Neodiprion lecontei: one gene and its partner. The protein of the gene in region 2 interacts with the protein of the main gene of each other region in a pairwise test. Links are inferred from orthologs where the notes say so. Each region holds a gene or a part of one and is shown on either strand. Other genes may lie near its edges. The genes, in order: E3 ubiquitin-protein ligase CHIP and ubiquitin conjugation factor E4 B.

Region 1 (4,925 bases), on a different chromosome or scaffold from region 2:
AAAATGCTGACTGAATAGGTCGGGTCCCGGAATTAGAGTGACTAACAAGTGGATGTGTATCCCTAATGCTTCAATACACCAGTATACAAATTTTCAGCTTTTCCTAAGATTTTGCACGCTACTCATCATTTTTACATATTCAGTAGGTGTCCCAGAACATCGCTGACTGACCGAGGATTCTTTAAACTACATGAATTTATTCAGATTTTCTCAATTTTTTGTAGCCTTGAGCCACCAGCTAGCAGACATATAAATCTGCAAAAACAGCGAGATCTGGGAAGGAAGGAAGATTACTGAAACATGGTGCTTGAGCATGGATACACATCAGCGGTTATTACACCAATACACGAGACTGAAACAAGCAGTACATGTATAGATCACATATACAGGGTGAGTCAGTTAAAACGGCCAGAATGGGAGGAGCTCAGTTGACGGATCAGGCCGTACCTCTTAGCCAATTTGGAGCGAATCAATTGAAACACCGAGAATGGGAGGAGCTTTGTTGACGGATTAGGCCGTAGCCCGCGTGTTGATATCAAAGTAAAGTTTGCAGTCTGCGTACAGATATTCAGTGGTAATACGAAATAAAGTAACGATATGACAACAAGTGACGGATCATAATAAGAGTTTATTCCCTCACTTGGTGTCATATCGTGACTTTATTTCGTATTACCACTGAATACCTGTACGCAGACTGCAAACTTTACTTTGATATCAACACGCGGGCTATGGCCTAATCCGTCAACAAAGCTCCTCCCATTCTCGGTATTTCAATTGACTCGCTCCAGATTCGCTAAGGGGTATGGCCTGATCCGTCAACTGAGCTCCTCCCATTCTGGCCGTTTTAACTGACTCACCCTGTATGTTAAAAGAGACAATACCAAAGAAATAACAGCAGCAGTATTACCAACGAAGATTGAGTCCCATAGAAGCGTACGGCCTGCAGGCTATTTGAAGCAAGAAAAGTTGGGGTGCTCGGACGAGCTATCCCCCCAACAGCTAGGTGTCGCTAGTGGCGCCTTTGCTTGTGTGGCTCACGTACAGCGCTCTATACTAATGCGAACAGTGTCGGTGTGTTGGCTCCGACTGGCGAGTTGGGGTGATCGTGCTAACTCTCTACTGTCGACCGACGGTAGAGCCATCTTACGGATTTACGAGTCGTGGAAAGTTTTGCTTCAAGCGGCCCATAAGCCGTACGCTTCTATGTGACTCGATCTTCGTTGGTATTGCAGACGATGACCACGGATCACTACACGACCATAATCAAGATTGCAAATGATATGATGAAGTAACTTTATTATGGACTCATACAACCTATGATATAATATCGAACAACAGTCTGGGAAATTGTGTAAAAAATAAGCCATTGACCATCTGTAAGTGGTCCAAGATCTACAGAAAATAGCAAACATCCCAAACATCAGGTAGACATATCTAGCAAACATAATGATAAGGCTCAAAAAAAATCGACTGAAAACTGAGGAAAGAAAAGTACAGTAGGAATATATAACTCGGGCTAGCGTACAAGGAAATCTTGTACATCAAAGGGTTGACACAACCAGAACACATTGCCGTAAAAAAAGGATTGCAGTAATTTTTTTTTTCAGTTTTTATAAGGAGGATGAAGGTACTGAACGGAATATTTATTATGAGATTAAGTTTTTTAAAATAGTTTCAGTAAACAGGCTTCCGAATAGCTAATTGACTCTGCAAGTTAATTTACTGTGCAAGATTCGGGATGTACAATTACCTACATGTATAATAGGTCGATTTCTGTGTAACAGTCATGAATCTTTAGAGATAAAAATTACGCATGGCTCAAGAGTTCATTTACACGCTAGTCAATTGTGCTTAGTCTTCAATTCAACAATCATAATTTAAATATTCTTAGGGTACATAATTTTGAAAACGAATATGAGCTGTTACCTCTCTGAAGATGCTTGACAGCTTCGTCAAATAGTTCCAGTTCAAGAAGTGCTTGGCCTAGGAAAAAATGACCCTTGACTAGACAGGGATCTATATCAAGAGCTCTTCGACAGTCTTGACAGGACGAGTCCCATCGTTTGAGTTTGAGGTGGCACAAGGCACGATTTGTGAAATATGTAGCTTGAGTTGGATTTTTGATCTATAACAAAATATAGTGAATAATTGTCTTTGAGCACTGATGTGAACCTTCATTCAGGTGGAGACTCCAGTCGAAAACTGAACCAATGGTCACGATAAAATGTTAGCATTTGTGGTGACTATTGTACACCTCTATGTTTTGGAAGAATCCTCTGCACATCACGCAGCACAAAGCGCACAATTAACTGTGGCATAAGAACTTCGTCATCCACTTGATCCTAAATCAGGTTATTCCACTAATACAAAACTGCACATGTATTCAAAAGTCACAAGGTTCAAGTTTGCAACATTAAAATAAAACCCTGAACAAAAAATCACTCTTATGATCAGAATGATTTTATGGTAGCTAAATTTGCAAAATATGAACACGTTCCGCTTCATTATGATATATCTAATGTTAGACAATTCTAGAGCAACGGAATAATAATTTTTTCTCCAATTGTATTATTATATCAATGCTATGAACACCAGTTCATCAAAAGTTAGTCATATATAGTTATCATCAGCTGGTGTGTGTGGGATCCTTCTAAATATGAAGGCGTACGAAAATACGTACACGTGATATAATAATCCAATATCTCTTGCTTTTAGTCATCGAACAATACCTACGATTGCTTTTGTATAACAACTGGCTGCATCCTCATATTTGTGCAAATTGAACAAGCGGTTCCCCTGTTCTTTCAACTCCTTATCAGAAAGGTTAGTTGTTGAATACATCTTACTCATGTCGCTCGATATGTCAGAAATAGGGCAGATGCTCAATTTTTAATACACTATAGTGCTATGCGCGGTTCTTTTAAGGGAAATAAAACTGGATTTGAATTAAATCTGTCATTGTTGTATAACCTCAAGTACGTTCGCTTCCATTTTGGTTATCCATACAAACCACGGTAACAAACCATAAGTCACGGCCATCAGCATTATCAGCTCCACCCAGCCGCCGTTGCTTAAGGGTGCTATTTCATGAGCAGTAAAAAGCAGCAGTGGTTTAGTAACTTACAAGTTTTCACTAGCATCAGTCTGGTAAGTTTACGCAGCAGCAGCGCTGCTCATGAAGTAGATCGTGGCTTCTTGTGATCTTATGGTGCCGCTGACCTGGATCTGAAAGTTGTAATCGAACGAAGCGCCCTCTGCGTAAGTTTCCTCGGTTCCAAACCATTCGAAGGTGGTACTCTCCACCGGGGAGTAGCGCAACACAATATTAGACAAAACACGGTCGGTAAGAGGCCTGAATCTGAGTCGGTAACCATACCAACAGGATTGACCCGAATTTTGCATGCAAATGATGACGTCATGTGTGTAGCGATTGCATCACGACCGAACTGATTATTTTGATAGTTTTACGCTGAATATAGCAAATTCAATTTATTGTTCCGTGAAACACCCTTGAATATGGGACATTCTTTGACGAATCGGAGAGATTTAGATAAAAATCGACCGACACAATTTTGATGTAGCTTAAAATTTTTTCACGGGTTCTATATCGAAAAAATAGGGATACGTATTCGAGGATTTTTTTATTTTACATATTTCGTAACATAGAGGGGATCGAAAATTTGATAATTTGGTGTTTTTTGGCTTGGAAGACTCACTTTCAAAAATTCATAACGCCGGTTCAGTTTGAGCTGAAAAGTTCGTTTTTTGAACCCAAAGCTTATAAAATGAATTTTAATGCAACAATTGTTTCATTTACGATTATTCCGAAATTTATATTGTTATAAATAATTAATATGTTTAAATCGATTTTTAGCAATTGCCTTCACCTCGTAGCGAGTTCTCAGCACGACCATCGTATTCTCCATCAATTCAAAATACGTTATGGATAAAAAATTTGACGTAGAATACGATGGTTGTGCTAAGAACTCGCTACGAGGTTGAGCCAATTTTTAAAAATCGATCGGAACATATTAATTGTTTATAACAGTATAAACATCGGAATAATCGTTAATGAAAGAATTGTTGTAATAAAATTCATTTAATTAGCTTTGAGATGAAAAAAACGAACTTTCCAGCTCAAATAGAACCGGCGTTATGAATTTTTGAAAGTGAGTCTTCCAAGCCAAAAAACACCAAATTATCAAATTTTCGATCCCCTCTATTTTACGAAATATGTGAAATAAAAAATCCTCGAATACGTATCCCTATTTTTTCGGTATAGAACTCGTCAAAAAAAATTTCAGCTGAATCAAAAATGTGTCGGTCACAAAGGTGTTTGGTTGTAAAAGAATGTCCCATATACATTAAAACATATCGCGCAATATTAATTTTACACAGCACGAAGTATTTTCAAAATGATTTCATAAATATCACCATTCACCATTTGTAAATATTTGGAAATATGTTCGAAAAATACGATTGAAACAAAACGGGTACGAATCGTTGTGGTCTCGTTTTATGAAGTTACGCCATCGGTCGCCCCCCCCCCCCCCCCCCCCCCGCCCAACTCCGCTTCTCCTTGTCGCAAACTTGAATGGTCATGTTTATTTTCCGTCAGTGCATTACATTGTATTCGATTATTCGCTCAGTCTACGGATAGTGACTGTGCGCGAGAAAAAAAAATCTTTGTGTCGGCAGACGACTGTGCTCGAACATTTTGCATTTCCAAAATAAAGAGTATTTTTCATTCTTCTTCAGAGGTTTTCTATGAGGTATATACATGATTATCTCTGGTGAGTATTTATACATATATATATATATATATATATATGTACATTATACAGTTGTATAAAACGTGCACCCCGACTTACGTTTTTTTCGACTTACGCCGTGAATGCCGGAACGACCCATAGCGTAACTTCGGG
Region 2 (8,006 bases):
GATCATTGCACTGTAGTCACGTTCACGTAAAAGGGCGGCATTTATTTAACCGATGGAATGCACCACCTGGTATTTATTTGCACGAATAATGTGACAAAGTTTTTTTTCTATCTTTTCGTTTCTGTCTTTTTTTTCTCTTCAAATTCCTCTTCAAATTCCTCTTCAAATTTTAAATAACTCATCACGTTCTTAGTAGCACTTACATGTTTGCAGACTTTTTCTTCTCCTGTTTCCATGCAGAGATCCTTTCTTTTAAGTCCAGGACTGTGAAAATTACGAGTGAATAATTATTTATTGCCACATTAATTACAAAATATGATAATTAATAAATGTTTGATCATTATTTTTTCAGGACATGACTGATGACGTTTTACTGACCAGGTGTCAGCATGTCTTCACTAAGTGGCTGACGGCTAAATGGATCTGTAGCGCTATTGAGTAGGTGACGAATGATCACTGCTCTGTCCATGACGATACCAGATGGAAGTTTGACAGGCTCTTCCATAAGCGTGTCCATGAGAGGATCACGAAATTCTTCAGGCGCATCCCCATAATCCTCATCACGTGCCTGATTATCCCTTGCAATAGCAGCTGCCCGTTCTGCTAGAGCTCGAAACCGCTCAATTTCAGTCACAGTCTTAATTGCAGTCCTTTCCATTCTACCCGCAGCATCATTAAATAGCTCTTTGCAGAATGAGCGCTGTAATATATTCAACACAAATGGTGAGTGAACTGTCACATTCATTAGATATATCGATTGACTTGCACATATTGTGAATAGCAGAAGTCTGATGTATCGAATATTTTTAAGGTCTCTAATTTATAAGTTTGCTGCATAGCCAAATATATTAATCAACTTCAAATTAAACTTCATATAATACTTTCGAAGAATTAAATATTTTACGATTAATTGTTATTTAACAATTCATTCCTATCTTTGAAATTAGAATATTTAACATTGGTAGTCCTTGCTGTATTACAAATTTTGAAGAGATGTTTCAGGTGACTCACTGTTTTTCTCATTCAATTAAAATGAGAAACAAACAGTTTCTATTGGGTTTTGAATATGTATATGATGAAAGATTTACCAAACAATACAAAAAAGAAGAAAGATAATTGCATTACTTCGCTGTAACTGCTCTTCTGTCAAGTGTATGAATACGACATTCGCTATCCTAGGAGCACGGACATTAAATATATATATCGGTATCGTTTCTGCACTGTTTTGTGTTGTTAGGGTAGTGTTAATGAGTTAATAAATTAATTTTTTCACTTTTTTACTCCAGGTGGTAAATGTTAGTGAGAGAAGGCCAGAGTTACTGAAAGCTAACCATTGTAATAGAAACGTTGAAAAGTTTATTTGCCCAATTCCAAAACAAAGTTGTATATATGTAGTCGTATCTCTTACCTCATCCCCAGCCAGAGCAGCAGCAAAATTATCACAGTCTAGATGCAAGTATATATCGGCTAATTGACTTAACAATGTTCTTGGTTCCCATCCATATTTTTCTGGTTTTTTCACTTTTAGATTTTTACACTTCGGCCCACAAAGCTGTTGCAAATTAAAGTTCAACATGGCACTAAGTCTACCGACCAATTCAGGACGTAAAAATGGTTCTGTGATATCTACAGTCAAGTAATGGAACATGGCAACAGTTTCCTTTGCAAGAGTTAAGTAAGATCTCGCCTGACGTTCGTCGGCCGTTAATTGTCTTGATCTAGATTGTTGCTGATCTTGAGGTAGTGCAGCCCATGCTGCAGTGTTGGACATAAGTTCCTGCACTTCATGAATTCGTTTTAAAGATTCCAAACTTTCGTCCAATAAAAACGTTGTGTCATTCATCAGCATATTTATAAACTTGACAAATTGCTTTCCACTTCTACTTTCGTTGACGATGGAAGCTCTATGAACAGGACTCTCCCACATGGATTTCAATATCAAACTAATATGGTAACGGATCGAAAACTTGTCATAGAATTCCGAGCTGGAACCAGTTGTTTCTACATCTGTATAAAACTTCATAAGGTAAGATGCCAAGAAAGTCTTTGATATCTCGTGTGCCATCACTTGGTCATGTAGAGTTTCTGTTCTCCCCTGTTAAACAATAAAAACTTTTACCGATATTTCATCCTTACCGAGATATGCACTTTTTTGTTCAATAATAAAGTAATAAAGAGGTAGAGCTCTTAGAGCGTACCTGAACACTGGGGTTGATCACAAAGAGTACTTCAATAATTTTAGCAATTAAGTATGGATTGCGAATACAGTGTGGCGTACATATCACAACTAGCAGCCATGTAATCAGCGAATTATCCATATTATTGGCCACTACTGTGGGGCTGAATCTATTGTGAAAAAACAAAAAAAAAAAAACAGTGAATGAAGAAATTTCCCCAAGACAAGACAGGGGTAGATAGACAAAATTGGAAACTTACTGAAGTGCAAAGAGCAAAAATTCTGCAATGTCTTCGACATACCATTCAGGTAAGGCAGTAAATTGAGGTGGAACGTGTTGAGGAAGCGGAAGGGTAGGTAATTCACTACCAGCAGGTCTCTGGGTAAGAAGACCGAGCAGAACGTCGGCAACAGACGTATAAAAGTGAAGAGATCGCCTTAAAAGAACTTGGTCTATCAATCCAGCATCTGCGGAAGATTTTGATCTACCGAGTCGTTTCAACTGTTGTTTCCATCGTTTCATTAACTCCTTGTTGTGCGCTGCAAAAGGAGCATCTTTCCACTGCGGCTCAGTTGCCTGTAGTTCATCCAGCATCTTCTGTAGCTCCCTGAGAGCTCTCAATCTTCTTTGATATTTTTGCAAAGCTGGCAAAAGCGCCAGATGATGACAGTGAAGAGTTAAAAACCAGCATTGAGTTGGAAACTTTGCCTCTGTCCATTTGTGCGTTGACTCCAAGCTCGCAAGCCACTCTGTCACTTCCTGTGAGTTGAGCTTTAATCTGGTATCATTTTTTATTTCAACATAACTAGAAGGATGAAACGGATACAGCGTATCTATCGTGTTGAGCTTAATCTTGACAGCAAGCATCTGGAGAACTGACAACAAATTGAGCATAAAACCATCTCCTGCAAGGGCAAATTCTTCTGTTTGAATTTGAGCCCGTTTTTCATTGTGTCGAAGAAGAGCTGCCAGATACGCCAGTGTAGCTTCTCGGCAGCTACTACTATTTGCAAGAATTGCATGGAACATTTTGTGAAGCGACGATCTAGTGCTTTCAAGCTCCTGCTGTAGAGTTAAATTTATTGACTTATCTGTTGCAGGATTTCCGCTGAAAAATTTTTCCGCAACCTTGGGCTGATCCTCCGCGAATACGGAGACGGAAAGGAAAGGCCCTAAGAATGATGTTCTGGCAAGCTCTCTTCCAACTGCAGTCGTCAAAACGTCAGGTAAAAACTGGGTTTGGTGCGTTATCAACTGACAAATTGGACGAATATTGCCAGTGGATCCACAGCGTATCTCAATTAGTTCTTCCAAGGCTTCGATTGGCCGGCGGTGAGTGTTACCAATCAGGCTTGCTTGCTGCATAGAGAGAAAGAAGCCTTGGAGTAACGGGGTGAAAATCTTGGTGAACACGTGAGGATTAGAGTGAGTTCTAGCCACAAGTTCATGCAGGAAACCTCTAGGTAGGTTTTGCGATAGCACTGGATAGAGAAGTGACGGAGATGGCGTTGACGGTATTACACTTTGGCAGATGCCAACCAATCCTTGTAGAACTAAACTTGCATGTTGCACACACTGAGCCCGCAGTGTGGCCAAAACTTCAGAAAGCGGAGGTGTGCTACATCTCTGCAATTTAGAAACACAAATAGATTGAAAGTGTAAGGCAGATTCATTGCTTAGCGAATTTATTTCAGAGTTGTAAATAGGATTTTACCTTAGGATGATTCCGTTCTTCTACAGCAACTCTGGAGTAGCATTCAAATAAATAAATAAGACTTTTTGGCTGCTGAGACTTGCCAGCAGTGGGCAGAGGTAGTGTGGGTACAGGACAGGAAGGTAGAGTAACAACAGGGCTCAGCAAAGGGCTTGCTTGGCTGCTGGGACTGCCTTCTCGATCGGAAGAAGCATCCGATGTTATTTCTTTCAGTGGATCTTCGCCTCGAGAGAACATGCAGAGCACTTCCATCAGGGCCTGATTAGCAATATCAGTAACATCTGAGAGTTCGTGCTCCAAGGCATTAGCTGCTGTTTGAGGAAGAAATATTGCACCTTCCGTAGATTCTTTCCATGAAACACAGAGGACGCGTGAGACCACTGTGTGAATTTGGTCAACTGTTACCTCTGTACTGGAACTCGTTGTCTGTTAAGGTAAAAATGATTCATATGATTGATGTCGCACATTTGTTTCCAATTTTCCAACGCAACAATATTGTACTGTTCTTCTCAAATCCCAAGGTTGCATTTCTTAACTAGGTTTCTAAGAACTGAAAAGAATACTGATTTTCTACTCACTGAGCCGAATAGTTTACTTTTTGTGTAATGTTATAGTCACTTAGTAAACAAAGAAAGGAAAAAAATGGAACTACACTAAACAAATATTAGTCTGTTAAGTGAATTACGTCCATTTTCTTCAGAGCATCCTAATACACACCCTGGAGCGTGGTGCCAATTCTCTGCGATCAGATTCTTCTACTTCCATATTTTCAATTCCAGAATCTACATCGACGCCAGAAGTGTTGCACTGCTTTTCACTGCTGTCTTCAACTTCCATAGGATGTTCTGGATGCTGTAACTGCTGTGTTGGAGGTGACATTATTGGACCAGAAGACGATCTTGAGGGACCCGGAGTGCCAGGAGAAATGGATCCAGTTCCACTATTTGAACTATTAGTGGAAATACTGGTTTCCAGGCCTGCAAGGCGGGCTAACCGCCTTTTCCTCATCTAAGAAAGAATTATCACATATACCTGATAGAACTTTGGTCAAAAAAAAAAAAAAAAATAAATGACAGATCAGTCATTGCAATAAATCGAAACAAAACACAAAAGCTAACGTTACAGTCAAACAAAGTTTAGTTTATAGAATCGAATTGCAAAAAAAAGCAATGAACACTGATTGCTGTAAAAATCAGTATCATTATACTTGGCATTACTTTACAAAAAAAGCTATGCAGTGTCTTTCAAGTTATAATTAAATGTAAATCACAAAGTATGGCAAACATGTAGTATTGTACATACAGGTCAGTCATCCTTTGTTCGTGACAAAGGAGAGGAAATAATATTGCGCAGATTTTTTTTTTTGGGAGCCAAGTAAACAAGAGTTGCTTTGCCAGATCTATATTTAGCTTCTGTTGTTTAGTTATTCCAACCAAGAAAGCAAAGTTATTACACAGTAATCAAATGTTTTACGATTGATTTTTGTATGTTTGAAAAGCATGTGATTAACATAACTGAATTACACACTTTAATTCTAGACTCTAAATCTGGTCGAAGTACTCTTGTAGCTAGACAAAAAAAAGCATGAAAAACTGACAACAAACAAGCATGTCTTCGAATGACTCTCATTTTTGTGACAATTATAGGATCCTGCATACTTGATGAGTGTTAAGAAACAAGATCAATCGTGGTATCACTTGATACCGTTATTTTTTAACAGAAAATCATGATTAGCTATTCAGCAGTAAAACTAATGGGAATCGAAATGGTTGTATTGTTATTATTTATTATTATATTCATTTTAAGGTCGACAAAATCTGTGGCGGAGACATCGGTTGGTTCTACTGTCCCCTCCTAACCCTTTGGATTGCTTACTTTCCAGTGAACTCACGAGATCATCGTTGATAAATTAACTAGCGTAATATCGGACTCACCTCTTCTTGACTTAATTCGCTCATGGCGATATCTCTTCTATTCCCGGTGAAACGCGCTCTACACCTCGTAGGCCGTAATCTAATTACTACTTATATAAATGTACAAAATCTCTGCTTCGCAAAATCCGTATCCGTAGCTGTTGAGATGTGTCAGAAATTCGGACAGTCACTCCACATCTGTTTGCGTTTAGACGGTAGATTAGCGATTCTTTACAGTTCACGGACACAACGTCAATTGTTCGAAACAGCTGAGCTATCCCCTTAGAGCATGTACCACTGGAAGTAGCCGCGCGTGTACAAAAAGCATAATCGGACGGGGCGGGGGGGGGGGGGGATAGAGCAGTAGACAGAGCACGTAAGCCATGTACAACCTGTCTCTCTCGCTCTACAAAATGGTTGGCCGATACGTTTTCTTTTACCCAATAACATCCAGAGTGAGAGAGACGAAGTATCCAGGGTAAGCCGAGGATACATAATCTTGCCTTCTCGTCACCACGGTCACAGTTTTCGCGCGGTTGACGTCATGAGCAGCTACCCCCAGTAGTATATGATCTAAGGTTATCCCTGGTCCAGAATCAGTCAACGTGCGCCATCTCGAGAATTTAATTGAAAACACCTTATTCACCAATCCAAAAACGTAGACAAAAACAGATAAAACGATTTTAGATATTAGAAATTTGCAAATGTATTTGATATAGCAGCTGTAAGCATTCTCGGGATCTCTCTAAGATCAGTATAGTGCTTATTTGTCATTATTCGTAGTTCGAGAAGGTCCATTTGTGAAAATTGGGGCGTCGATAAATCAGAATCCGTAGTTTGAAAGGCGCGCGGAAATTCTGAAGTACATGCAAGAAGCGCCAGCAAGCGATGTACTGTTGACCTACTATCGTTTTTTAATAGTCAGTTAAACATGGCTGGCGAAAAGTTTGCTTCCAGTTCTCGGCACGTCAAAAATTGTGATAGAACGAGTGACAGCAGTGATTCAGCGCTGAATACCGACCTGGAGGATGATTATCTCGACGCTATCGAAAATATACCATACCCGGAGTTTCAGTTTGCCGTAAGTTCGGTTCAATAATTTTTTCCATTGTCAAATGCTCGTCAGGCGTCCTACATTGGATTCTGGTGGGCATTCTCTAATATTTTTCCTTTTTATCTCGCAGACAACAACTTGTTACATTTGCAACGGGTATTACGGACCTTGTTTCGAAGAGCCTGTTTGTGCGACCTGCCACGCGTTTTTATTCCCAGATGATATCGGGCTACTTCAAGTGCCGATATTTAGCGAGGTCAGTATTACTATGACAACTATTTCTTTACTTTTATGTGACGTGAGGTGGGAAATGGCGAAATATTATCATTGAATCATTTTGACGTCACCCTTATTGTTAACAGAAAACTGACGACGAAGACTCTGGCAATGACGAGCCTACAGATCTTTATTACAACCCTGAGCGACGCACGAGTCAGCAACAACACAATTCTCCACAGAATTCAAATCCAGTAGCTGCAAATTATCAGAATGCCCCAATATCAGCATTGAATTTGAATCAATCACCATATTCACCCTTTCAAAATGTTCCTGCTTTGAGATGTAATCATCCCAATGCACTCGGATGTAGCACAGGCATCAATCTTGGTGTACATATGAAAAATCTGGTGCCTCAAAGCAGTTCAAGTTCAAATCCGCAAATGAATCGGCCATTTGTGCAAAATAACATAAGCAATGACCAAGCTCAATGTCAGTTCCCGGTTAACGTTAACCCACCAAACCCACCAAATAATCTTAGAAATACACCACCGCCAATTCCAAACATTCAAATCCCAAACAACCGGGCAGACGATCCTGCCGAAGATGATTTTCCCAGCCCAGAAGACCTGGTTCCACTTGGAGAAGGTGAGAACTTTGGAAATGATGTTCAGAATAGACAGTACAGATGGAATTTTCAAATACATGGTGATATTGGGGAGCCTTCACGCCCCCCCAGCTTATCCGAGAGACTGGATTTGCTCTCCAATCACAAACATCTGGAACATGAGCGAATAAATGAACCTGGCCTGGTGGACAGGCTGCCGCCAGAAGTTCTCTTCGCAGTATTTTCTCATCTTGATGACATGAGCTTATGGTCGGCTGGCAAAGTGTGTAGAAGATGGTGTGGCCTGCTCTCGACACATGTAACG

The links.
Region 1: the proteins of ubiquitin conjugation factor E4 B (region 2) and E3 ubiquitin-protein ligase CHIP interact in a two-hybrid assay, tested with the Caenorhabditis elegans proteins (2 studies listed by BioGRID). The link is inferred for Neodiprion lecontei from reciprocal best matches to the Caenorhabditis elegans genes ufd-2 and chn-1.

Annotation. Positions count from the first base shown.
Region 1 is NC_060262.1:16,939,484-16,944,408, forward strand, and holds the start of E3 ubiquitin-protein ligase CHIP, read right to left. Parts: upstream 3,005-4,925; 5' UTR 2,992-3,004; coding exon of another isoform or gene 2,971-2,991; 5' UTR 2,851-2,970; coding exon 2,734-2,850; exon of another isoform or gene 2,720-2,733; coding exon of another isoform or gene 2,681-2,719; intron 2,126-2,680; coding exon 1,927-2,125; intron 1-1,926.
Region 2 is NC_060260.1:35,856,167-35,864,172, forward strand, and holds ubiquitin conjugation factor E4 B, read right to left. Parts: upstream 6,099-8,006; 5' UTR 5,850-6,098; coding exon 5,826-5,849; intron 4,900-5,825; coding exon 4,609-4,899; intron 4,318-4,608; coding exon 3,892-4,317; intron 3,804-3,891; coding exon 2,437-3,803; intron 2,347-2,436; coding exon 2,199-2,346; intron 2,096-2,198; coding exon 1,409-2,095; intron 701-1,408; coding exon 379-700; intron 265-378; coding exon 200-264; 3' UTR 160-199; downstream 1-159. Other genes in the region: uncharacterized protein LOC107220803, read left to right, coding at 6,736-6,885, 6,989-7,114, 7,221-8,006. UniProt on the Caenorhabditis elegans protein: Acts as an E4 ubiquitin ligase mediating the assembly of polyubiquitin chains on substrates ubiquitinated by another E3 ubiquitin ligase. The elongation of preexisting ubiquitin chains preferentially targets ubiquitin 'Lys-29' and 'Lys-48' residues.